2 linked regions of the Astyanax mexicanus genome follow. The protein of the gene in region 2 interacts with the protein of the main gene of each other region in a pairwise test. Links are inferred from orthologs where the notes say so. Each region holds a gene or a part of one and is shown on either strand. Other genes may lie near its edges. The genes, in order: pfdn4 and vbp1.

What was found.
Region 1: the proteins of vbp1 (region 2) and pfdn4 interact in binary tests that used the Homo sapiens proteins (3 or more experiments, as listed by UniProt). The link is inferred for Astyanax mexicanus from reciprocal best matches to the Homo sapiens genes VBP1 and PFDN4.

What each region holds. Positions count from the first base shown.
Region 1 is NC_064420.1:3,765,838-3,777,965, forward strand, and holds pfdn4 (prefoldin subunit 4), read right to left. Parts: upstream 5,930-12,128; 5' UTR 5,854-5,929; coding exon 5,827-5,853; intron 4,088-5,826; coding exon 3,980-4,087; intron 3,863-3,979; coding exon 3,722-3,862; intron 2,206-3,721; coding exon 2,074-2,205; 3' UTR 1,801-2,073; downstream 1-1,800. Other genes in the region: serine/threonine-protein kinase pim-1, read right to left, coding at 144-318. UniProt on the Homo sapiens protein: Binds specifically to cytosolic chaperonin (c-CPN) and transfers target proteins to it. Binds to nascent polypeptide chain and promotes folding in an environment in which there are many competing pathways for nonnative proteins.
Region 2 is NC_064415.1:17,235,826-17,247,964, forward strand, and holds the start of vbp1 (prefoldin subunit 3), read right to left. Parts: upstream 5,023-12,139; 5' UTR 4,956-5,022; coding exon 4,875-4,955; intron 3,197-4,874; coding exon 3,072-3,196; intron 2,458-3,071; coding exon 2,391-2,457; intron 2,289-2,390; coding exon 2,190-2,288; intron 1,621-2,189; coding exon 1,482-1,620; intron 209-1,481; coding exon 132-208; 3' UTR 1-131. Other genes in the region: syt4 (synaptotagmin-4), read left to right, coding at 11,198-11,231. UniProt on the Homo sapiens protein: Binds specifically to cytosolic chaperonin (c-CPN) and transfers target proteins to it. Binds to nascent polypeptide chain and promotes folding in an environment in which there are many competing pathways for nonnative proteins.

The sequences.
Region 1 (12,128 bases), on a different chromosome or scaffold from region 2:
TAGTAACTTGCTCTCACATCCTACAACACTGCGGCCAGATTGGTGACCATCATTATACAAGAGCCCTTTTTTGTTTTTTTGGGGTGAGCACACACCTATTATGCAATAAAATAATATCAGGGGCCAACTAACAATGGACAAACCTGGTTTTGAGGCAATTGTCTTCGACTTTCTCTCAGGACGGGTCTCTTCTGTCTTCTGTTTTTTAGCTACCTGAGCTTCAGTGTTGGGAAGGTCTCTTTCTCCCTCTAAAACCACCTGGTTATCCTCCTCTATACACCTCTTTCTCTTCGCTCCTCTATCTCTACAGACACTCATCTCTGCTCCACAATCAGAATCAACAGTTACTCTCCTCACAGCACACTGGATTCTCTCTAACAACAGCTGTTTTAATGCTTCTCTCTCAGTGACCTGAGATAGAATGTCAGAGTTAGGAGCTCAGGGAGCTGCTCTATAGAACTCTTCCAGTGTGACATCATAGGGAGAGGGTTCCGCTCGGTTGCCGTGGTGATGTTTAGAATTTTTGTATGAAATGCACCCAGTGGCCATGTGCACCTTATTTATTTACATTTAAATAAATGAGTCTATAGTACTGTATTTATACTATACTATAATAAACCACTACAGTCTATAGTACTGTATTTATACTATACTATACTATAATAAACCACTACAGTCTATAGTACTGTATTTATACTATACTATAATAAACCACTACAGCCTATAGTACTGTATTTATACTATACTATAATAAACCACTACAGCCTATATTACTGTATTTATACTATACTATAATAAACCACTACAGCCTATAGTACTGTATTTATACTATACTATAATAAACCACTACAGCCTATAGTACTGTATTTATACTATACTATAATAAACCACTACAGCCTATAGTACTGTATTTATACTATACTATAATAAACCACTACAGTCTATAGTACTGTATTTATACTATACTATACTATAATAAACCACTACAGCTTATAGTACTGTATTTATACTATACTATACTATAATAAACCACTACAGCCTATAGTACTGTATTTATACTATACTATACTATAATAAACCACTACAGCTTATAGTACTGTATTTATACTATACTATACTATAATAAACCACTACAGCCTATAGTACTGTATTTATACTATACTATACTATAATAAACCACTACAGCTTATAGTACTGTATTTATACTATACTATACTATAATAAACCACTACAGCCTATAGTACTGTATTTATACTATACTATACTATAATAAACCACTACAGTCTATAGTACTGTATTTATACTATACTATACTATAATAAACCACTACAGCTTATAGTACTGTATTTATACTATACTATACTATAATAAACCACTACAGCCTATAGTACTGTATTTATACTATACTATACTATAATAAACCACTACAGCTTATAGTACTGTATTTATACTATACTATACTATACTATAATAAACCACTACAGCCTATAGTACTGTATTTATACTATACTATAATAAACCACTAGTCTATAGTACTGTATTTATACTATACTATAATAAACCACTACAGCCTATAGTACTGTATTTATACTATACTATAATAAACCACTACAGTCTATAGTACTGTATTTATACTATACTATAATAAACCACTACAGTCTATAGTACTGTATTTATACTATACTATAATAAACCACTACAGTCTATAGTACTGTATTTATACTATACTATAATAAACCACTACAGCCTATAGTACTGTATTTACACTATAGAACAGAATATCATTCAGACAGTGCAAGATTTGTACTGTTTAAGCCTTTTATTTAAATAGCAGTGAAGGCCTCTCATCTGTTTTGTTTTCCAGTGCTCCTGCCCCGAACTTTCCCTTTAACTGATACATCTACTTCCTCATTTCCAATACTACTGAAACATAACGGCATGTAAAAAACAGAAAGAATCATCAGTGCTGCAAAACGAGGGATCAGGTCTGCTTGTGAGCTCCATGCAGGAAACAGGGGGTTTTAGTTGATGGATGGCGTCAGTTTGTAAAATAAAGTCCGTTCACTGAAGAACTCAGCTCTCATCCGCCTCCAGGTTAATGTTGTTCCCGAACTTCGCGTACAATTGGACTTTAAGATCCCCGAGGACTCCCTGTATCGATGACACGCGACCCTCCAGAGCTTTGATTTCATCCTTGAGAGCTTCCTGTGGAGAACATTTCAGCAAAAAAGTGTTTTTTTAATTTTTGACAAAAATATGTATATATATATATAATTATACAACATTAGCACAAAATATTAAAATATGTCTAGTTACAGTACAGTTATGAATGTTGGTTAGAAGCATTATTAAGTATAATTTCATAAGCAGCACACCTGATTTTATTTCACAAAGGATTGATTGATTGATTTTCTGGTCTATTTTCATACATAAGGAGCATTAAGCACCTTAAAAATGTAAATTCTTAATAGAAAAATCTTTTAAAGTCAAAAAACGAGCACTGAACGTTAATCTACGCAGATTTCTCTCCTGAAAACTGTTCATTTGGATGTTTAAAGCGCTTCTATTTATTTACAGTAAGCTTAGATATCCAATATTTTGCCTAAGGGTGAGTTTTCAGTGAAGTTTCTTCAGCAGCATTAGCCGCTAACCGCAGCAATAACTCGAAAGTAAATGCCTCACAACAGCAACAGACTGAGGAACCTGGAGTGTTCCGGTAAACCAGTGCGCTTGCTATCAGCTAGCGGTTCGTGCCACATAGCTTGTTTTAATACAGCAAACACACAGATTACAGCTCTGTGGTTAGCAGCTAATGCTAATGCTGCTGCACCCAGCCTTAGTGCTGGAGAAACTTCACTAAAAACTCACCCTTATATTGCTGTACTTCAGCAGAGTGGCTTTACTGCTCCCTAAATGTCTGACTGTAGAATTCATACATAAGGTGCACCGGATTATAAGGTGCATTGTCTATTTTTGGGAAAATTAAAAACATTTAAGTGTGCCTTATAGTCTGAAAAATACGGTTCAATAAATACACTTAATAAAAACAATGATAAACAGTTCCTTAAGTAAATACCAGTGCTTTCTGCACAATAAAAGAAGTGAAATAAAAGAAAAATTGAAAATTAAAGAGAGAGAGGTGGGTAGATAGATAGTAAGTGGATAGATTGGTGGGTAAATTGATAGACTAATGGGGGGGGGGGCGTAGATTGTTATAATGTAGACAGGTAGAGATAGATGTGTAGGTAAAAAGATGGATGGATGAATGGAAAACAAATAACTGACTTTTATTTCTTAAAATTATTATATATTTTTTTATTTAGTTGAGTAGTTCTTACATCTCATAATCTGGATTATACCTGTAACTCTACCTCTTCGCTACTTTACACAACTGAGGCTCTTAAACATTTTATTAAGAGGCAAGAAATTCAAGTACCGGTAATTAACTCTTGATGAGTTCAGCACAGCTGTTAACTGAAAGCCTAAATTCCAGGTGACTCAACCTCATAAAGCTAAAGGTGTGCAAAGCTGTCATCTAAGCAAGAGGTGCTTCTTTGAATAATCTCAAATATAAAACACATTCTGGTTTGTTTAACACTTTTTTGTTTACTAAATAATTCCATATATTTTTTGTCATCATTTTGGATGACTTACGTATTAATCTACACTGTAAAACATAACATTTTGGCTGGTATTTTAGTTTCAATAATTATCTGTTCACCTTAGCAGCCTCTAGCATCTCTTGCGTCTCCTCTTGCGAGTGACTGATGAACACATCTCCAATCTGATACGGGATCAGCAGATCATCATCCTCACACATCATGAGGTCATCGCTCGCGTCCTCTAAGTTCTGGAGGGATTTCTGAGAGGAGGAAAGATAAAACATACCTATAACCAAAGTGATCAGTGTAGAGTATCTGGATTAAACAGTGACAGAATCATAAACTGATAATCTGGTGTTTATTGATAATTTTCCTACTTTTTTAGCTTCTATTTCATCTTTCAGCTCCGTCATCCGATTTGTGTTCCGAGCGAACTTGTTAATCTTCTGCTGGTCTTCAAAGGTAACGTTGACATCTTCAACTGCCTGCGAGAAGAGAGGAGAAGCTTAGTGACAAAACACACACCGACAGGAGAGAGTAGAGGAGATATCAGAGAATCTGCACTTAATCTAAATGTGAAGATATAACACAGAGTAGTGCTGGAGTCTCGCTGTATATCACAGTAGAGCTAAACAATTCATCGTTTTTTAATTGACTTTTCATTCGCAGGAGCTGCGATTTAAATTAGCCAATAGCACGTTTGTAGTCCTTAGAGTGCTGGGGATTGTAGTCTTTGGGCTTATAGTCGTTCCCATGCTCAGAGCCCTGGTTGGCGTGACAATGCCTCAATATTAATGTCTTATCATTTAGTTCTGTCTAATAATAAATAAAACCTGTGATATTTTGAGAAATGTGATTTGAAAAGAAAAAAAAAAATCAAGAATAATATATAATTATTCTATTATAATATATTATTCTACTATAATATATAATGCATTTTAACATATATATATATATATATATATATATATATATATATATATATATATATATATTTTTTTTTTTTTTTTTTTGTTCCTTGAAATTTAAAAGTAAAACTGACATTTGCATTTAGTAATCTGAGAAGAACCCTGAGAATATTTTACGTGGAAAGAAGTTATTATATTATATTTGACAGATATGTTAACCACTAATACATGTTTAAGGTTTAATGGACTGAAAATAATAGAAGTTGCAATATTCTGTGGAAAGATCGCTTTAATACATTTTGCCCAAATCGTGCACCCCTCTATTATGGTATTTGTATTATTTTATTCGCATGACACAAAAAAAAAAACACAATATATGAAGAAATTAGACTTTATTAATAGAAAAACAGCTAAAGAATTTAAACAACAGACCTTAAAAAGATATATATATATATATAGTCTAAAAAAATAAAGTAAAAAATACTCAAAATGTAAGTATTCGGAGATGATCTTACAGCACTTCATGCTTCCCTCTGCTGACAACTTTTGTGGAGACGCGGATTTCATTTTCCAGCAGGACTTGGCACACTGCCCACACTGCCCAAAGTACCAAATGGTCTTATAATATAATTTTCTAAATTTCTGAGGCACTAATTTTTGGGTTTTTATTAGCTGTAAGCCATAATAATAACAATACATCTAACCTTAAAATAAAATCTATTAAAAATAATTACGCGTTTTTAACTGAATTACTAAAAAAAAAATACAGTAACTTTTAATTTTTTTTTTTTTTTTATCGAAAAAAAGTAAATAAGGTGATGATAGTGTTTTTTAATAAGTTAATGAATTTGAGCTGTATGTTAGTATAATAATGGCTAGACTCGGGTGGACAGTTAGATTTGTAGGCTTGGTTCTGCTACACGCCCATCTAGCTAAGCTAACATAGTGTGAACATCCCCTGTGATTCGCAGATGAACCGAATTCAGGTTCTACTTATTCACACGGTCAATAAACTGATTATTATCTGATCAGATCTGGGCTTTATTCTGTAGAGCTGATCCAGCTCTCATATAAGTTACACACACACAGCGCTGCCGTTAGCTCTCTATACTATATAGCTCTATAATAGCTCCACATTAGCTATGCTAAGCTAACCAAGCTAACTCTCAGGCTCCCGGAAAAGTCCTGCCTGTATATCGGCGGATTTAAACCGTATATAAATAAGACTGAACTAAAATTAATCCTAAACCTAAACTAAACCGGTCTAAAGCCAGACCGCGACTCTTTAAACAGCAAATCAAGACAGACACACTTACCACAGTCTTCTTCGTGGTGGCTGCCATCTTGGAACGGAAGGGAATCGCTGTTCGGGCGCGTGAATGAATCGTTCATTTGAACCGACTCTTTCCAGTAAATGATTCAAATCGATCAGAATTTTTTTCAGAGATCTTTTTAGCGAATTTACGTTTTGCTAACATAAATAATAATGAATTATTATTTTATTTTACTATACATATCTTCTTGTAGTCAAATAAAGGGTCAATAATACAACTTATATTGGACTTTGAGGGGAATTTTCTTACCAACCGATTAATATTTTATTTTACTTGAATGAGGTAAAAATGCAGTAAAAAAAACCCTGCGGCAACACCTCCATCTAGTGGACAGGACTATAAGGCAGGGTCTTCAGGAAATACAGTATATATTTTAATAAAGTAAAACAAACAACAACAAAAAATAGTAGTTTTTAGTTAAATAAAAAATAATAATAATAAATAAAAATTAGTTTTATTTATTTATTTATTTTTGTATCTGCTTTTATTTATAATTTAGAATTTTGGGCGCAATTTTTTATTTTTAGGTTTTCAATATTACTGTCAGACAAATAAAAAAATATCCAAATAGTTACATACTCTGTGATTAATTATTCTAATTTAATCACATTCATCGTCAAACTATTTCAAACTGTACAACTTAATAAAAGAATCTGTAAATCCTGTATATCTCGTACAACAATATACCAATTTATTATAGCTGCACCTTTATTCATCTAAACAATACAAAATTATCATACGGTCACACATACCAGAGCTTAAAATGTAAAAAAATGAGACGTTAATATTTAAAAAAATATGTATATATTTTACCATATTTTCCTAAAATAAATAATTAGGTAAGTCCAAATAAAATAAAATGAATGTTAACTATTATTATTTTAGACAATAGAGTTATTGATTTTAGTAACAGCTATTCATTTTTTTATATATTCTGTCCTGGGGACTTTTACTATGAAATAAAAATGGCGACAACACTGCAATGCTATCGGCTAAACAAGCTATGCTAACAGTTTCCTGAGCTGTGGGTAACTACTAAATCATACACACACTGCTCTTAACTGTATGAAATTACGTTCATATAAACTTATAACAATAAATATCACTAATATTATATTTAATTATATTTTAAAACAATGTGTATGTATATAAAAAAGATATATCGAATTTTGAGAAGCTAAGACAATTAGCAATGGAGAAGTACATTCAAATTAATACAAAAAATAAAGTCAACATATTTAAACTATCAAATTAACTTACTTCCATGTAACAAGGCTTATAATAAAAAAGAGAAGTGATTACGAAAAAAAAACGTATATATTGTGACGAATAGGAACGACCAACAATTTTTAAAATAATAAATAATAAAGTCAACAAATTTGTACTATAAAAGCATGTAACTTGCATATAACAAGACCTTTTGACAAATAAAAAACAATTAAAGCTAAAATAGACTAAAAATACAATATATAACAATAAAAAATAGAACAAAGCAAAGTATTAAAAATATATATATAGTAAAATAGTGAAAAGTGTTCACTATTGTACAAAACAACAGCCATAGGCTACTGTAAAAACTATAGCAATGCATTACGTGTAGTGTATGTAAAATAAAGAGGGGGCCAAAAAGCAAATCATAAGTGAGTATTTATCAATGTGAGTATTTCTTTTATTTACACTTCTACTCTCTACAGTTAGAGTACAGTACAGTAACGTTACAGTACAATAGCTACAATTACAGTCTACAGTCAAAGAACAATTTATTTAGTTCTTATTATTAAAATATGGGGTAATATTATTGTCTGTAAATAAAGAAAAAGTGGTATAACAGAAGAAAGTACTGTTTATCGTTAATGTCTGTGCTCATATGCATGTAAAATCAGATATCTTGTTTATATGAAGAATTATTACAAGCTAATAATCTCTAAAACCAGTATAAGTACACATAGTGCATTCCTGAGGGCAAGGCGTGTGTTTTAATTAGATGGTTTTTTTTTTCTTTTTGTTTGAATATCTTCTTCGTCAGTGTCCCTTTAGTAAACACACACTTAGTAATCAGTCAACTTACTGCGCCCATATAGGCAAATATTGCCACAATGCTTGCACTTTATTTTGTGATAATTTAACTGTTGGTTTAGATTTATGCACGCATCATGCATATTTCTAATAAATGTATGTGAGGAAGTGTGTGAGCAAGACCTTCAGCATTCATATGACATTCAAATAACTATTTACAATAAGGGTCGCCATTAAAAGTACTTACGACAGCAATAAACATCGTTAAATGAGTAAAGGAGTAATCAGAACTATATGAAATCAAGTGGTCCACTTGGAGCAGTCCAATTTTCAAACACTGTAGAGCATTGCCCCTTCCCAGACGCCAAGCTCATGTGGGTTGCCAGGTTGAGGACACAGTGGCAAGTGATGCTGAGTCTTACTCTGCAAGCTGATCAGCAAATGTACATTGTACAATTGTTTGGAATGTTTTTATTGTGTGCCCATTATAAACAAACTTATGTGATTAATGTGGTTCAAGACAGCTGTCCTAGAGTTAATTTACCCTTCTCTAGCTCCGCCCCCTTGTTACCCAGTCCCAGGTGTTTTCCATCCATTTGTATTTATAGTCCCCCTCGTTCCTGTGTTCCTTGTCCATTGTTGAACGTCAGTCAGGTTATGTGTTAACATGCTATCTATGTCCCCTGTGTTGCTTTTTCTTTCAGTTTTTGGTTCTTTGTTTGTTTGTTTGTTAATGTTTTTTTTTTTCAATAAATCTTCTGCCAATCTCCACATCTCCTTCCTGCTCCCTACCTGACAAAGCTTATGCATGTTGCCAGATTGAGGACACAATTCCAAGCAATGCAGAGTATGAATGTGAGCACTCTAATGTTGAAATAATTAAATTTCCCCACCCTACTATGCTAGTAGTAGTTTTGATAAATGGACAGTGAACCTTAGCTGAAACTTAGCTGATAAGTGCTTACTTACTTCTGAGAAAATTAACCAGCTTGGCATCTTTTGGGTGTTCCTAGGCTCTAAACTGTCTCCATCTGTTGAAATCAGTACCAGTATTGACTCTCATTTACTCCATCTCTGGCCATAGAGCTTTTTAAAGATAAATGCAGATGCCTTTTAGGCTGCTTCTGTTAAAACATTTCCCTTGTTAGCTTCCACAGCTGGAGCGAACTGTTTGTCTGATATTGTGTTCCGTACCTGGCAAACCAGGGTGTGGAAATGGGATTAGTGCAATTGCAGAGATTACAGTAATGTACAGTAATGTGGATTTCTAATCACTAAATAAAGGGATAAAAACTGAACAAACTAAGTCAGTTAATTTATTGAGTAAAGTGTTGGTTTGGGAATATTGAGCTGGGTGGTTTGAGGCGTTCCATGCCTCGCATGTCTGAGAAATTCCTTTCACCGTGGCAGAGAGCGAGGGGTGACCACAGTGGAATTTCTCGTCCGCCTCCGCTGTGTACGTTTACAATGTGAGGCTGTAACTGTGGACGGCATGTATTAGCACATTATTAGCCTAACCCTGACCAGCGGCTGATCAGTCACAGGCGATTTAGGGACTGTTCAGGACTTTCTTTGCCTGCTTACTGTCACTCAGTTTACTGTTCTGTAAATCATTATTATTAATACAGCCTTTTTTAACTGTTAATTTAAAGCAATGAGTTTTTATTCTTCAGTAAATCACATTCCTTTATTAAAAAAAAAACTGAGCCAAAGGAATTTGCCAAAGGAATGTATGAGGGAGTGGTCAGTGCTTTCAAATTTACAGTGCAGATCTACCATAAATTAAAATATTGTTTTTACAAAAAAAAAAGATTTTTCCTCAGTAAATGTTCTTTAAAAATCAAATTCAAAATATTCTAAGGATGCTTCAAATATTTGGCAGTTGAACAATTAAGTAAAAAGACCAGATAATCTGTGCCAAACAACGACTTATTAGGATTTTTAAGCAGTGGTGGCACACTTATGACTGACATAAAACTGACAAACGGCAGGTTTAAGTTCATTTTTACGCTTGCATAAATTAATCACTTATCAAGTGTAGAATGAGTTTTCTTGCTACCTTTTCACAAACGGGCTCTTTTCATGATGAGAAATACGAGCTGTACAAAAAAAACTTGAAAAAATATATACTTCAGTTGTTGGAAAAATATATTTATAAAATTAAAAAAATAATAATAGATTTCACATACAAAGAAATACTTGCCCATATATTTATTAAGGGCTGTTAATAAAAATGATGATAAAAAACGAACTAAATAATTGCACAATGCACATTGCACATATTAAATATCAAAACCAGTTAAAAACCTGCTAATGATTTACTAAAACCCGCTAATACAGCAAAAGGCTCTGTAAAAAAGAATTAATCATGGCAGGAAATTTCAGACAAAATTACATAATTTACATAAAAATAAGTTTCCAGATTAACTGCACTAGTTTCACTTTAAAAAATAATAGTGTACCTTAGTTTTTTCCTCAAAAATAACATTGGTTATAACATTAGTTTTTCATCCAAATGAACATTGTACATCAGTTTTTAACTCGAGAAGAACATTGTACATCATTTTTGACCTCAAAAAGGCCATTCACAAATGTAAAATCAGTGTAATTCTTCTTTAATAATTTCCCCTACAGCAGTAGCATACTGAAAATTGGGGGCAAAACCAACAACAGAACTTAAATACAGTAGAATATAATATAAGGTATGAGCAGTTGGTAGGCATTTCCCTGAGTCATCGGTGAGTTTTCAGCTGCTAGCGTAGCGTAGAGTCAGTGAGGAACTTACAGCCAGTTCCTCATTCTCGTGAACTTTCTCCTGGTGTTGTGGGTAAGTTCTGGTTTTGCAGAATACAGATTCTGATTTAAAGAACTCGCATCCTAAAAACAACAACCAACAATAATCTTCCATGCTTGTTAATCTTTGCATTAATCTAGGTCAATGTTTGTAGATAAAAAAGCATGTGTAATAGATCAGTGCTTCACATTAAGTTTCCCTTTAACCCAGAATAATAAATCAGAGCGCTATAGAAGAAAAGCTATGAATCAGTTCAGGCTGATAGCTGGACATATCAATGAGAACACGTTAGAGGTGCAGAGGTGATCTAGAGTCATGTTCGGCCAATTCATTAGGAATACCGCGTGGCTTCAACACGAGCCTTCAAATATTATTGGAAGGTCTGTTATCTTGTTTTTCTGTCATTGAGGTCACTGCTGCTGCTTTTCTGTTTGATGTAAAAGTCGCATTAATTCCGATTTAGACAAAGTTGCATTGCCTTCAATCAAATATGTATCAGATTTCATTACCACATATTGAAGTGGCTTAAATCTGAATAAAAAATTTGAGATTTAGTGTGTTTTTTGCTGTTTACACAGCCACGCAAACAAAAAACCTGTTTTTTTTTTCTAATGTGAAAGTTCTCTGTTAAACTTTTACTCAGCACATTAAAGAATATGATTTAGTGTCAAAATTATCATGAGCTGTATTGCTAAATACAAAAAAAAATCGAATTTATTTTTGGTAAAAAAAATTTGGGTCCCAAAATTTTTCGAATTTTTTTTGGGTCCCAAAATTTTTCGAATTTTTTTTTGGGTAAAAATTTTTTGGGTCCCAAAATTTTTCGAATTTTTTTTTTTGGGTCAAAATTTTTTGGGTCCCAAAATTTTTTAAATTTTTAATTTAAAAAAGAAACAGTCATTAAGTAACGTTCTTATTTTTTTCACATATGGACAGTAGTACTGAGGGACTAGACAGTATGTTTTGAATAAAAAAAAAAATACAATTTAGATTTCTTTATTTTAGTACAGAAAGTTCATTTAATTTTCTCTTAAACAAGTGTGAAAAACCAACAAAGCCTGACTCATGAACAAGCAGGTTGTCATATTAATGCAGAGTACAGTTTGTTTTCTATAAGGGTTGGAATTGCTCTCTTGGCAGATGACAGCTCTGTGTGTTGACTCAGACCGTGTGAACATCTCTCGAGTTCCTATATAAAGAGTGCAGAACCTGCTTCTGATTCAGTATGGCTGCTTTCCCAGTGCTGTACAGTAGATCAACATGTTATATTTATCTGTCTTTTGTCTAGTTTTAATGTTTCTGGTGACTTTATTGTGATTATCAACTCCAATCCTCCAAACTTGATCTTATATACCACTATTAAACACTGTAAACACTGTAGACAGTGTAAAGCACTGCCAGAAAAATGAGTGTCTTATTTGCTGTGGGTTTATGAACACAAACAATTTAATAAACAGCTTGAGTTACTGATTTT
Region 2 (12,139 bases):
GAAAAAATATTTTAAAAAGTAACAAATCAATAGATAACAGTGTGGAAGTAGGTGGACACATGGGGCAGTTGGTACTATCAGGGGTGAGAGTTTTGGGGTGTGGTCGGGGATGGAAAAGCAATGCCCCTCCTCTAAGACTTTTCAGCAGATTTGAGGAGGTTGTCTTTGCTCCTCCTCTTGACGTCCCAGTTGTAGACACGCGCCATATCTGAAGGGAACACTGTTAAGGAATGCTGTTCACACAGTTTGTTTTAATTTATCCTATCCTACAAGAAATGGGGTGAGTTTTTAAAAAGCTTTGTAACAATAAGCACTTTGCTAAAGACCTGCTAATTAACAAGCCTATTCTAAAAGCTTGCATAACTGAAATACTAGGTGAACTTACTTGCAAATTAACAACTAATATGACCTGTTCACTGTTCACAAACACCCGGTTTACAACTGGTTACTTCAAATGACTTGTATATGAACTGTATCCTGATCCCATTTACATTTTAGTCAAATGGATCTGAAGTTTGTCAGACTAAAATTAAATTGCAGTGTGGGGCTTTAGTGAGCTGATAATCAGCATATCAGTCAGGCAGTGTGTTTTTTTTTTTGTCTTTTTTTTTTTTTTAAAAGAGAAGAAAGAAAAAATGTATAAAAATAAAAAATAATACATTTAGTTATTTATTTTTATTGAAGCTGTTCATTTCAGTTTTACTTAAATGGAAATAATAGGAAGCATTCAGACCCATTAAAACAGCAGTAGTTTTAGTAATCCTGTACACAAAACACCTGGATCAAGTGTAATGACTTGGCCAATTTTAACCAGTGGGTTTAACCAAGGGTTGCCAGGAGCAGGATTAATAAATACTGGTTTAGACAACAGAACCAAGCCAACTGTCTAGTCTCCTTTTGTTTATTTTGCTCTTGTCTGAGGTTTTAAACTGTGGCTAAAAAACTTGATAAAAAACTGAAGAGACCAATTTCTAAGACTGGAAATACCTGAAACTAGACTGAAATCTAGAACACAGTAATGGTGTCATCTATAAAGTCTCAATTGGGCTCTACAGTACTGTGATGAAGTCAGCACTAAGACTACACAACACATTATAACAATTCAGTGGCTTAAATACAGTAATATGCTCCTATGACAACCGAACTGTTAAACAGATACACAAACTACAAGCTACTTAAAAGCAGCATAGAGAAGATGATCGCCATAAATCATTACAATAACCAAAGTTTAGTCTCCATTTCCAGGTCATATAATATGTTATGTAGTTCACACAGCCACTGCTAATTAATCAGACCATCACTTGCCACGGTGACTTTAAACACTTTATATATGTAATAAAATTTTACAAAGAAGCTACATCTAACCTAATCTAATATAATATATTTTCTTATTAGGAATTTTACTCTGCTCCTAGGTAACTTACCCAGACGTACAGTGTACATTACAAAACTGGGGCATCTCCACTTTAGAGAAAGGATACTGACTTCAGTGGTTGTGAACTGGTCTCGGAGGAAATCCAGGTCCTCTTCTAGGGACTCCAGGTTTCGGGAGGCTGTGGCGAGGTTCTTCTCCAGGAGTGACTGGGCTTCGTCTATGTCATACTCCAACATTACGTTTGCCTTTTTCAGAAAGCGATCATATAAGAACATGCAATGAAAATTGTATATTGTATGAAAATACAGTATAAGCTGCATCCCAAAACCCACAGTGGGCCTTTTCTATGAAGACTCCTTTTTAGTAGCTTACTGGTCACACATTTGCCACAGAAAATGGAAAATTTTAGACTGTGTTTTTTCCTAGTTTTTAAAGTTCTGTTTTTTTTTTAATCCTAAAATTGTGGACAAATGTGAGCAAAGAGTGTTTTTTAAGATTCTATAGTACTTTTTAAGTTACTAATGCCTCGATTTAAATGTCTGGGCTCTCCAGATTCTACCAAAGAAATGTGAAGCTACTTTGAGCCTGGATAACGGTGTAAAAAGCGATTTATTGGGGCAAAATATGCCCTGACACGGTTGTACAGAGTGCCTGGCAAAAAGCACAAAATAACTGGGCCTCAGAAAGCTGCAGGAGAGTGGTGGTGGGCTGTTTAACAAAGGTATAACTTTTAAGCATGTTTTACTACACCAAAAGTCAATTAAAGTTCTCCTTTGAGCCAGCATTGCTCCTCAGGTGTGAGCTGAATACTTACCCCAAGCCACAAACACACTTTATCTGTGGGAGGGACGGAGGCCTTGCAGTACACGTTATCAGCCAAAAGGAAGTGAGTCGCCATTGGATCTGTAGTGTCCTGTACCAAGACAAGGAGACATTACTGAATGAGTAGACTGAAAAAAGGAGAGCAGAAAGACAGAAGCTGATTTTTATTACTACAGTTAACAGTATTGCTTACCTTTTTCTTCTGCATGTGCCGTAAGATTTCTAACGTCTGCTTGATTTGTGGAATCTGGCTTTTCAACCTAAACAAGGCAAAATTCCACATTTCACAACTTCTGGACCGCTAGGATTTGTACTGGCTCATTTCAAGCCCATTTCAGCAATCACACACTATGACTAGGACTGGAAATATGTTAAAATACTTCATAAATAGAGCACAATGACACAGCAAATTATGTCTGACACCATATTTGAGGTCCTGATGAACCATTACATTAAATGCATTCCAACCATGACAGGCAGTCAAAGTAGCATATGTGACAGTGGCAGCATTTGTGGAGGTCAGGCAATTTTAATTGATAAAAAGTTTATCTCCTCTGAAGAAAGCGTCCAATAAAAGGTAAATGCCACTGGGTATCACTAATATAAAAATATATGCAGAGAGCAAGGCCAATTGTGCTCACTTGGGACTTTAGGATAAGAAACACTGTGCCACTGCAAGGGAATGAACACTCAACTGTCAACAAAAGCATTGTATTCTTTTAGAACAAAACCGGCTAATGGTTAACCATTACTTGTAAAGAACATTATTTGTAAAGGACAATTAATAAGATAATTAGAACCACAAAAAAACACAAAATAAAGCAGCCATACCTCACAATAATAATAATAATAATAATAATAACAATAAACAAACCGGAGTTTCTTCTGGGACAGGTTAAGCTCCATATATTTATATTTCTGATACTGTTCATCGAGCTTCCTTAGTACAGCATCTGCTGTGTCATTGCCGGGCTGCTTCATAAAGGAGTCCACATCCTCCTAAAAGAAAGAAGAGACAGTCATGTACCTGGACCTCAGGTCAATAATTAAATTAACCCAATAATGAAAGTGGCATGCAAAATTATAAATGATATGCTTAGACTGGATTTGTTCATTATGCTTCTTTCCCAATAATGAAAAGTGCTTTAATAAGTGATATTTGCACATACTATTTTGTCCAGTTAATGAAAAGAATTATCTGAGGCTAAAAGTCCCTGAAAAAAAGAAGGATGAGGGGGCAAACTGACTTGGTTCTTGCTTTGTCATGACTCCAGTAAACAGTACTCTGATACAAACCAGCAGCACTTTTAGCCCATTGTTTAATGATACATCAACATAAAGCACAATAAACATATACATCGACAGATGTAAATCTTCTCCATTTCTTTTTGGTTGTAAAAACCTTCTCCATTTGTGATGTTTACTACTGTTACACTGAAAAATAAAGATTACAGCATTTTTTTCTGTACAGTATAATACATTTGCAGATATGTCATAACAAGCATCTTCCAGTGTGAAATTCTGTATAAATTCCATTAGGAATGATGCTTACGAGCTATATATTTAGCAAATATGATGTTGTACTAGTACATAAACCTTTTTTTTTTATATAATTATTTTATACAGTATTTCCTGGACTTTACATTTACATTATTTGCTGGTTTTCTACCAGAAATTAATTAATTAATCAAAGAAGAAAACATGTGTCCATGGAAATATATGTTAACTGTAACTGTAACATATGAAGATATATAATCTATGTTCTCCAGATAATCAACAATAAGATGAAGAAGAAGAAGAGAATTTATTCAGTATTTATTGGACTTTATATTTATATTATTTGCTGGTAGTGCTACCCCAAACAATCAACTAACATTATTTTAGAGATTAAACTAAATATATTTATTAAAAAATAATAATAAAAAGAAAGAAAACACTGAACGAGAAGAGGTGTCCACATTGATATACATTGACTGTTACTGTATGTTAATGGTAACATATAAAATATTAAATCTATGTGCTTCAGACAATGATTTTATAGAAGTCTTTCATTAAAAACGTTTATATTGGCTTATTATTAATATTAATATGATAATAATAATAATAATAATAATAATAATAATAATAATAATAATAATAATATTTTGCTTTACAATATTTACTAGACTTTACATTTACATTATTTGCTGATAGTGCTACACCCAAATAACCAACCTATCATTATTTTGGAGATTAATAATTATAATATTATATTGGATATAAAATCCAGCCTCTGTAGTCAGTAAACTACTGCAGCAGCTAACCAAGCTATGCTACTATTCATCATTAACGTTACAGTCAATGGGCCATACAAAACTCTCCACTACAGAACAGTAATAAAAGGCTAGTATAAGGAGAAAACCTATCAGAGCCGTTATGAACTTAAGTTATATGCACTGTAGCTGCTAGAAAAATATAGACTGCTGATTTTGTAACACAGAAAATCTCATTTTTAGCCTCCATTTGTTCTTAAAGCAGCATTAGCCTGGGCCACAGCCTTAAAAGGAAACGGCCAGGCTGCAGCACCGCGCTAACTCAGCGGGCTCGCTAACGGCTTTAACCCCGATAAACAGCTTCCAAACCGGCTTATAAAACATCTCCGAGCCCTCTTACACCTCCCTGTCCGCGGCTCACTCACCACGAAGATCGCTTCGGGGATCCCGAGGTGTTTTTTCTTGCTCGCAGCTCCAGCATTGCTGCTCTCTATGGTCGTCGCCATTTTGGAAAGACCCGTAGCCCTTCCTCTTTAGGTGACGTTGGGCGTTTCTCCGGCCAGCCGCCCGGCCTTTATAAAGCTGCAGCAGCGTCCCGGAGGGTTTAACGCTGATAATCAAAGGCTTCTGCTTAGTTAAAGCTCTGAATCTGAGCTTTATTAGCGGTACATTCTCAGATATTTTATTTTAAACTGTTCATATGGTTACATATTGTACAGATACAGAGCGGGGTTTTGTGTGTTGGAGCAGTTCACAGATCCACCGGCAGGTGGCATCATTTATCCAAAATCCCTCACTCCCTCACTAAGGCCCAATCCCATTTATCTTTTTTACCCTACCCCTTGTTTTCGAGTGTAATTGGGACAAGCCTTCAAGCACCCGATACAGATATACAGCTCTGAAAAAATTGAGACCACTTCAGTTTTTGAATCATTTTTTTGATTTTGCTATTTATAGGTATATGTTTGAGTAAAATGAACATTGTTGTTTTATTCTATAAACTACTGACAACATTTCTCCCAAATAAAAAAAAAAATACTGTCATTTGGAGCGGGAAATTTGCAGAAAATGATACATGACTGAAATAACAAAAAATATGCAAAGCATTCAGACCTCAAATAATGCAAAGAAAACAAGTTTATATTCATAAAAAGTTTCAGAAATCAATATTTGGTGGAATAACGCTGGTTTTTAATCACAGTTTTCATGCATTGGCATGTTCTCCTCCACCAGTCTTACACACTGCTTTTGGATAACTTTATGCCACTCCTGGTGCAGCTTGGTTTGATGGCTTGTGATCATCCATCTTCTTCTTGATTATATTCTAGAGGTTTTCAATTTGGTAAAATCAAAGAAACTCATTATTATTATTTGATTTTATTATTTTTTTTTCCCAGAGCAGGTGCATCTAAAAAAGAATATAATTGAAAAGTTACTTTATTTCGGTAATTCATTTCATTCAGTAAATTGCATTATGATTATGGGTTATAGCCAATAAAAAACCCAAACTCAGTGTCTCAGAAAATGTAAATTTTATATAAATCCAATCCATACTTTTAGCAGTGTACTTTGGGCAGTGTGTCTCCTTTTTATTCACCTGTTTTCTAATGCTCTCTCTCTCTCTCTCTCTCTCTCTCTCTCTCTCTCTGTCTCTGACTCTCTCTCTCTCTCTATGCAATGTTAATCTTCAGTGTGAGGCTCTTTAGTACTGAGAACTGTGTCTCTATTAGTGACGTGTCTCTGGGCTGCTGCTGTGCTCTGCTGGGCCGCTGGGCTGTCATGGTGATACAGCAGATTAGGGTGTGAACGTTACCGCAGGAGATGTGAAATGTGTGTCAGTGGAAGAGTATAAATGAGACTTCAGACGAGGACTAAATCAGTGCTACTGCTGTTAAACTCAGAGCTGCAGCTTATAGAGCACCAGTTTCTGCTGTAGGATCTTTAGTTCTCAGTTCTGATGCTATTTCTGGATAAAAGCTAAATTTATACTCAAACCTGTCAGTGTATATTCCCACATGAATCCCCTTATACATCAACAGCTACAGAGTGGAGAAATATGGAAAAAGGATTAACTGAGGCATTGAGCAAATAGAAATGCAGCATTCATTTCTCAAGAATGAAAGATGATTTTGGTGAATGAGGACCAATGATCCTTGTGTACTAACATTACAGTCATGACTATTCATACTGAGCTATTTACATATTCATCATATTAATGTTCCAAACATATATCTATAATTATTTTCCTGTAATAAAGCTTCTAATATTAATATCTGGTTTTGTACATGTATGTAGTGTTATGCTCACACATATGGACTTAATATTTCATTGCTGTATATCCATTAGTTATACAGTTGCATTTAATGTTGTTGTTTTGCTGTCTGATTTTCTGCTCTTTTAAGTCTTGATTCTTTCTGGTTGTGAGTTTGATGTTGCTCAACGATGTAACTAAACATCATTTTACATTACATTACATTTGGCAGACTTACAATAGTGAAGTACAAAAGTAATAAGTTAAAGGTAAAAACATCTTTAGATAGGGTCTAAAGGAGGTCAAAGGGAAATAATGGGATAGAGGAGTGAAGGAGGGGAAGAAGGAAATGAGGTTAGAAGTAGTTAGTGTGTTAGAGGTGTTAGGAGAGTAAGTGCTCCCTGAAGAGCTCTGTCTTCAGGAGTTTATTAAAGATAGTGAGAGATTCTCCTGATCTGGTAGTGGAAGGTAGTTTGTTCCACCATAGGGGAACTCTGTATGAGAACAGTCTGGATTGCTTTGTGTGAATGTTTGTTTGGTAAAGTGAGGCGACGTTCATTGGAGGAGCGCAGCGGCTGGGAGGTAGTGTAAGCCTTCAGGAGTGAGTGCAGGTAGGAAGGAGCTGTTCTGTCATCACCTTGTTGGCGACTGTAAGAGCTTTGAATTTGATGCATTAACTGGTAGCCAATGGAGCTCAATGAGCAATGGGGTGACATGTGCCCGTTTTGGCTGGTTGAAGACCAGACGTGCTGCTGCATTCTGGATCATTTGGAGTGGTTTTACTACGCAGGCCGGGAGGCCAGTTAGCAGGGCATTGCAGTAGTCGAGGCGTGAGATGACGACTGCTTGTACCAGGAGTTGGGTGGGCTGTTGCGTCAGAAACTGTCGAATTTTTCAGATGTTATAAAGCGCGAAGCGGCAGGATCGAGCAACTGAGGCCACATGGTGCGTGAAGGAGAGCTGGTCATCAACCATAACACCCAGGTTCCTAGCAACCTTTGTCGGTGAGAGAGAGAGAGAGTCGATGCTTATAGAGAAGTTGTGTTGAAAAGATGGTTTTGTTGGTATAACCAGAAGTTCACTCTTTGAGAGATTTAGTTGACGGTGATGCTCCTTCATGAGGATATGTCTGAGAGACACTGCAATATCCGTGCAGAGATTGAGTGATCTTCAGGTGAGAATGAGAGGTATAGCTGGGTGTCATCAGCAAAGCAATGCATTTAATCACTTTATACCATTCACAAATGAAATGGTTAATAAGAGTTCATTGCTGTTGCAATAACATGGCCTTGTTGCACAGTTTAAATCCTTCTTAAATGACAGAAAAAAATGAAACCGCACTGAATGTATTGATCCAGTGTTCTTGGCATCTCCCTTTTACAGCTCCATTTCATAATCCCAAATGTGAAATAAAGCTACAGGAACACAGCAATTAGAGACACAGTGTTCTCTGAACCGTAGCTGTGCATCTATAGATCACCATAAAGTAGGACTCTTAAAACCCTGATCCAGCTGACCTTGAGGAAAATGAGGCCAGCTGAGCTATAGCATGAAGATTCATCCCTCTTGAAGAACCCTCTGGGTTATATTAGGTGTTGGAGGGCATTTAGACATTCTATAAGATATACAGCGTCACTGTCCTATGAAAAACACTAATCTCTATTTTGTCTATTTTTAGTTTACTACATAATTTGAACAGACAAACTATCCCTTACACTGTCCCAAAATTTCTTAATGAACAGACCAATAGAAACTCCTCATAATGACCTGAAATAAACTCTTTTTACATTAACTTTCTTTGAACATTTACAAGGTTTTTTCTCTCTTCTGTAAGGTTGCTGTTTTGGAGATTTTGGAGTGTTTTTCATTGGACAGTGACAAATGTGTATTGATGGTGTGTGATATATGTGTAATGGTGGAGCAGACGGGAGGCGGACGTAAAAGCGAGTAAGACAGGATTTATTAAATAACATAAACAAAGAAACAAATAAGGAGTAAACGAGGAAATATAAATACATAAACAAACAGGGAAAATAACCAAGAACTAAACTAGACAGATAATAACTAAACAGGGCTGGGGATATATGCAAGGAAATAAACGTAAATATATACAAGAAATAAACAAGGAAACAAACTAGAGATAGAAACACGGAATAAACAGAGAATAACTGATAAACAAAGAACTATGGAGCGTGGAAAAACTACTATAAACGTGGCAAGACAAACGACAGAGGAAGGTGCAAAGACCGAAGACCAAACATAGACAAAAGGGTACTATTTATACTAATAGGAAACAATGAACTCCTGGGGCGACAGGTAACGAGGGGCGGAGCTACAATTTACAGACACGTGAGGGAAAATAACTGGGGAAACGCAGAAAACACAGGGAAACAGAGCAGGGCGTGACTATATGAAGACTGTTAGCAAATTTTTACAGCTACATGACTGTGCCAGTATGTGTGTGTATATGTTTGTTCTTTTATTGTTATTCGTTATTTATAAGTGTTTGTTTAGCACATATGGTCAGCACAGTCATAATGACTAGACATGGTTCCTTCTGAGGCTGTGAGAATTGTTTATTGGATAATATTAGGACCATTTATCTGTATATAATATCTCTAAAAATAAATCTGACTATGAAAAACAGCTGATCTTGCATACAGGCTACAATAATGTGGAAAGATCTGAGACTTTACATAATATTATACAGCTATTAATGATGTCAGTAAACATTTATAAAGGACTCCAAAGTTGTTCTAAGTTAGATTAATTAAATGAATAATGAATGGAAATGGACAAATAAACAGTTAATTGTGTTTTATTATGTCTTATAGAGAAAGACCAGTATGACTTTATTTGGATGGTCCATTAGAGATGCCTCAACTGACATTTAACCAACATTTAGCTGAATATTTACTTACTATGTTATTTTTCTTTTCTCACATGCATGGAGGCAGAAGGGCTATATAAGGACTGTATGCACTATATAACACCAGGGTCAAGGTATCCAGATGTGGGTATAAAAAGCTCATGATCTAATCAGCATCATTGCTCACTCCAAAGCAAAAACCTGAGTGACTTGTATGATGCAGTATTGTTGCACTGTAGAGGGAGAAACTAGGGAAATCCCTTCCCAGCTTTCTTCAAGGAACATTATTGTTTTAAATACTCCTTAAAGTCTAATTTATAATGTACAAATAGTTTTAAAATCATGTATTCAGTTGTATGTATCCATGCCTTAACACTGTTAAATGAAAGTAAAATCGATATATATATAAAAATATGTTAAAAAGGAAAAAAGGCTCGTGCTAATTCTGTCTCATGACTGTACATGTTGTTGGGGGTAGGTGTTACAAATATGAATCATTTGAACATAACAGCTGTCCTGTTTACAGCATTTCCTGATGACTGAACCAACAGAAATAGACACAAACATACACTGACACTGACAGGGCTCAGGAATGCCCACACCTGTATTAAGGTGCTATATTGTGATGCATTTTAACATTTGAAGCGTCATTATTTTTATATTTTCCAAATCCTTCTGTAAAGTTGTCATACAGTATAACTGGCACTTGAATTATTGTTGCTTTTATATTATTGCTAAATTTAAGGTACTTGAATTGTATGTTGTACCTTGTATCACTTGTATTACCTGAAACAGCTTTACCTTTCATACACACACACACACACACACACACACACACACACACACACCAAGAGGCCAAACCTTCAGCAATCAGAATGATTGCCCCAGCGAACGTCACACCTGCGTCAGAGACACTGAGAGAGAGAGAGAGAGAGAGAGAGAGAGAGAGAGAGAGAGAGAGAAATAAAGAGACAGAGAAATAGATAGAGGGGGAAGTGAGAAAGAGAGAGAGAGAAAAGAGGGAGAGAGACAGAGAGGCACAGAGAGATAAAAAAAGAGAAAAAGAGAGAGAGGGAGAGAGAGAGAGAGAGAGAGAGATAAAAAAAGAGAAAAAGAGAGAGAGGGAGAGAGAGAAAGAGAGAGAGAGAGAGAGAGAGAGAGAGAGAGAGAGAAAGAGGCACAGAGAGTAGGGGAGAGAGAAAGAGAGAGAGGCACAGAGAGTAGGCAGAGAGAGAGCGAAGAGGGAGAGAGGCACAAAAATAGAGAGAGGGTGAAAGTGAGAAAGAGAGAGGCACAGAGAGCAGGAGAGAGAGAGAGAGAGAGAGAGAGAGAGGCACAGAGAGAAAGAGAGGTGGCGCTGTTTCTCGGTCATATAGCGGAGAGAGAGCAGCAGCAGCAGCACAGGGCGGTGCTGATCCACCAGTAAGGAGGAGGAAGAACAGGAGGAACAGCAGGAGGAAGAGCAGCGCGGTCCAGCTGTTCCCTGAAAAACAAACGAGCACGCGCGCGTAAAATTTTTAATCCGGTACACGCGGCGTTCACACACACACTTCGCTCCGAGTCTCGAGCCTCCGGAGGAGAGAAGTGCGCAGATCAGCGGGAGCATCGTTTCAGCACCGCGGACAGCGATGGCTCCAGTGGCCTCTGAGCACGCGCAATTCGGTGAGTACAGCTGAGGGGGTCTATAGGGGCTCTATACAGCATTCACTGTGTGAAAGGTTGTCTCGAGAACTGATTTTGATGGCTGATTACTGTCTATCAACCACCTGGTGCAGTTGATCGATAGTTTATTGAAGACGCGCGTCCTGATTAGTTTGACGTGGCAGCAGTGATCTGTGTGGCTATATATGTAGAGCATGACGTCATTTTTACTTTATTATAGACTACCTAATGAATCCACAGTTGGGATTTACGTATCCTCAAATCCTCATACTGATCAGTGTATCGATACGTTATATGAGGTGTGTGAGGTTTGAGTCCATCTTTGGCACAGCTCCTCATGAGTCATTCTCACCCAAATCTGTCTGAGAAAACACTGGAACACACTCTGCTCACACACGGCTGGGTGTGGGTCTGGGCGGGTGGGTGGGTGTGAGAAGTGTGTAGTGTGTGACGCCAAGTGTGTGACATCAGGTTTATTCTTTGTTAAGGAGGTTTAGGTTTGGGTTAAGATTGAGGTTAAGGTTTAGGTTTAGGTTTAGGATTAGGGTAAGATTTGGCTTTTGTTTAGGTTTATTTGGGTCTTCAGCCAAGTTCACACTCTCCACAAAGGCTAAAAGGTACAAGGTATGTGTACAAAGCAAAGCAGAGGTGATGCGAAGGTTCAATTCCACTGAGAGGTGCACCCACCATGCAGTAGGAAATTTCCACTCTCGCCCAGTGCATGAGTGAGTATTACACCATCATCACAGTCAGCGCACAAGTAATCACACACTGCTGAGAACCCCCCCTCCACTCCAGTCTAAATACTAATCACAATGTCCGCCCAGAGTCTTTTCAGTCATACCCCAAAGCACTTGTCCACTTGTTCATAATTTATGATCCTGGCTGAGGCTTAGACAGAATAGCTG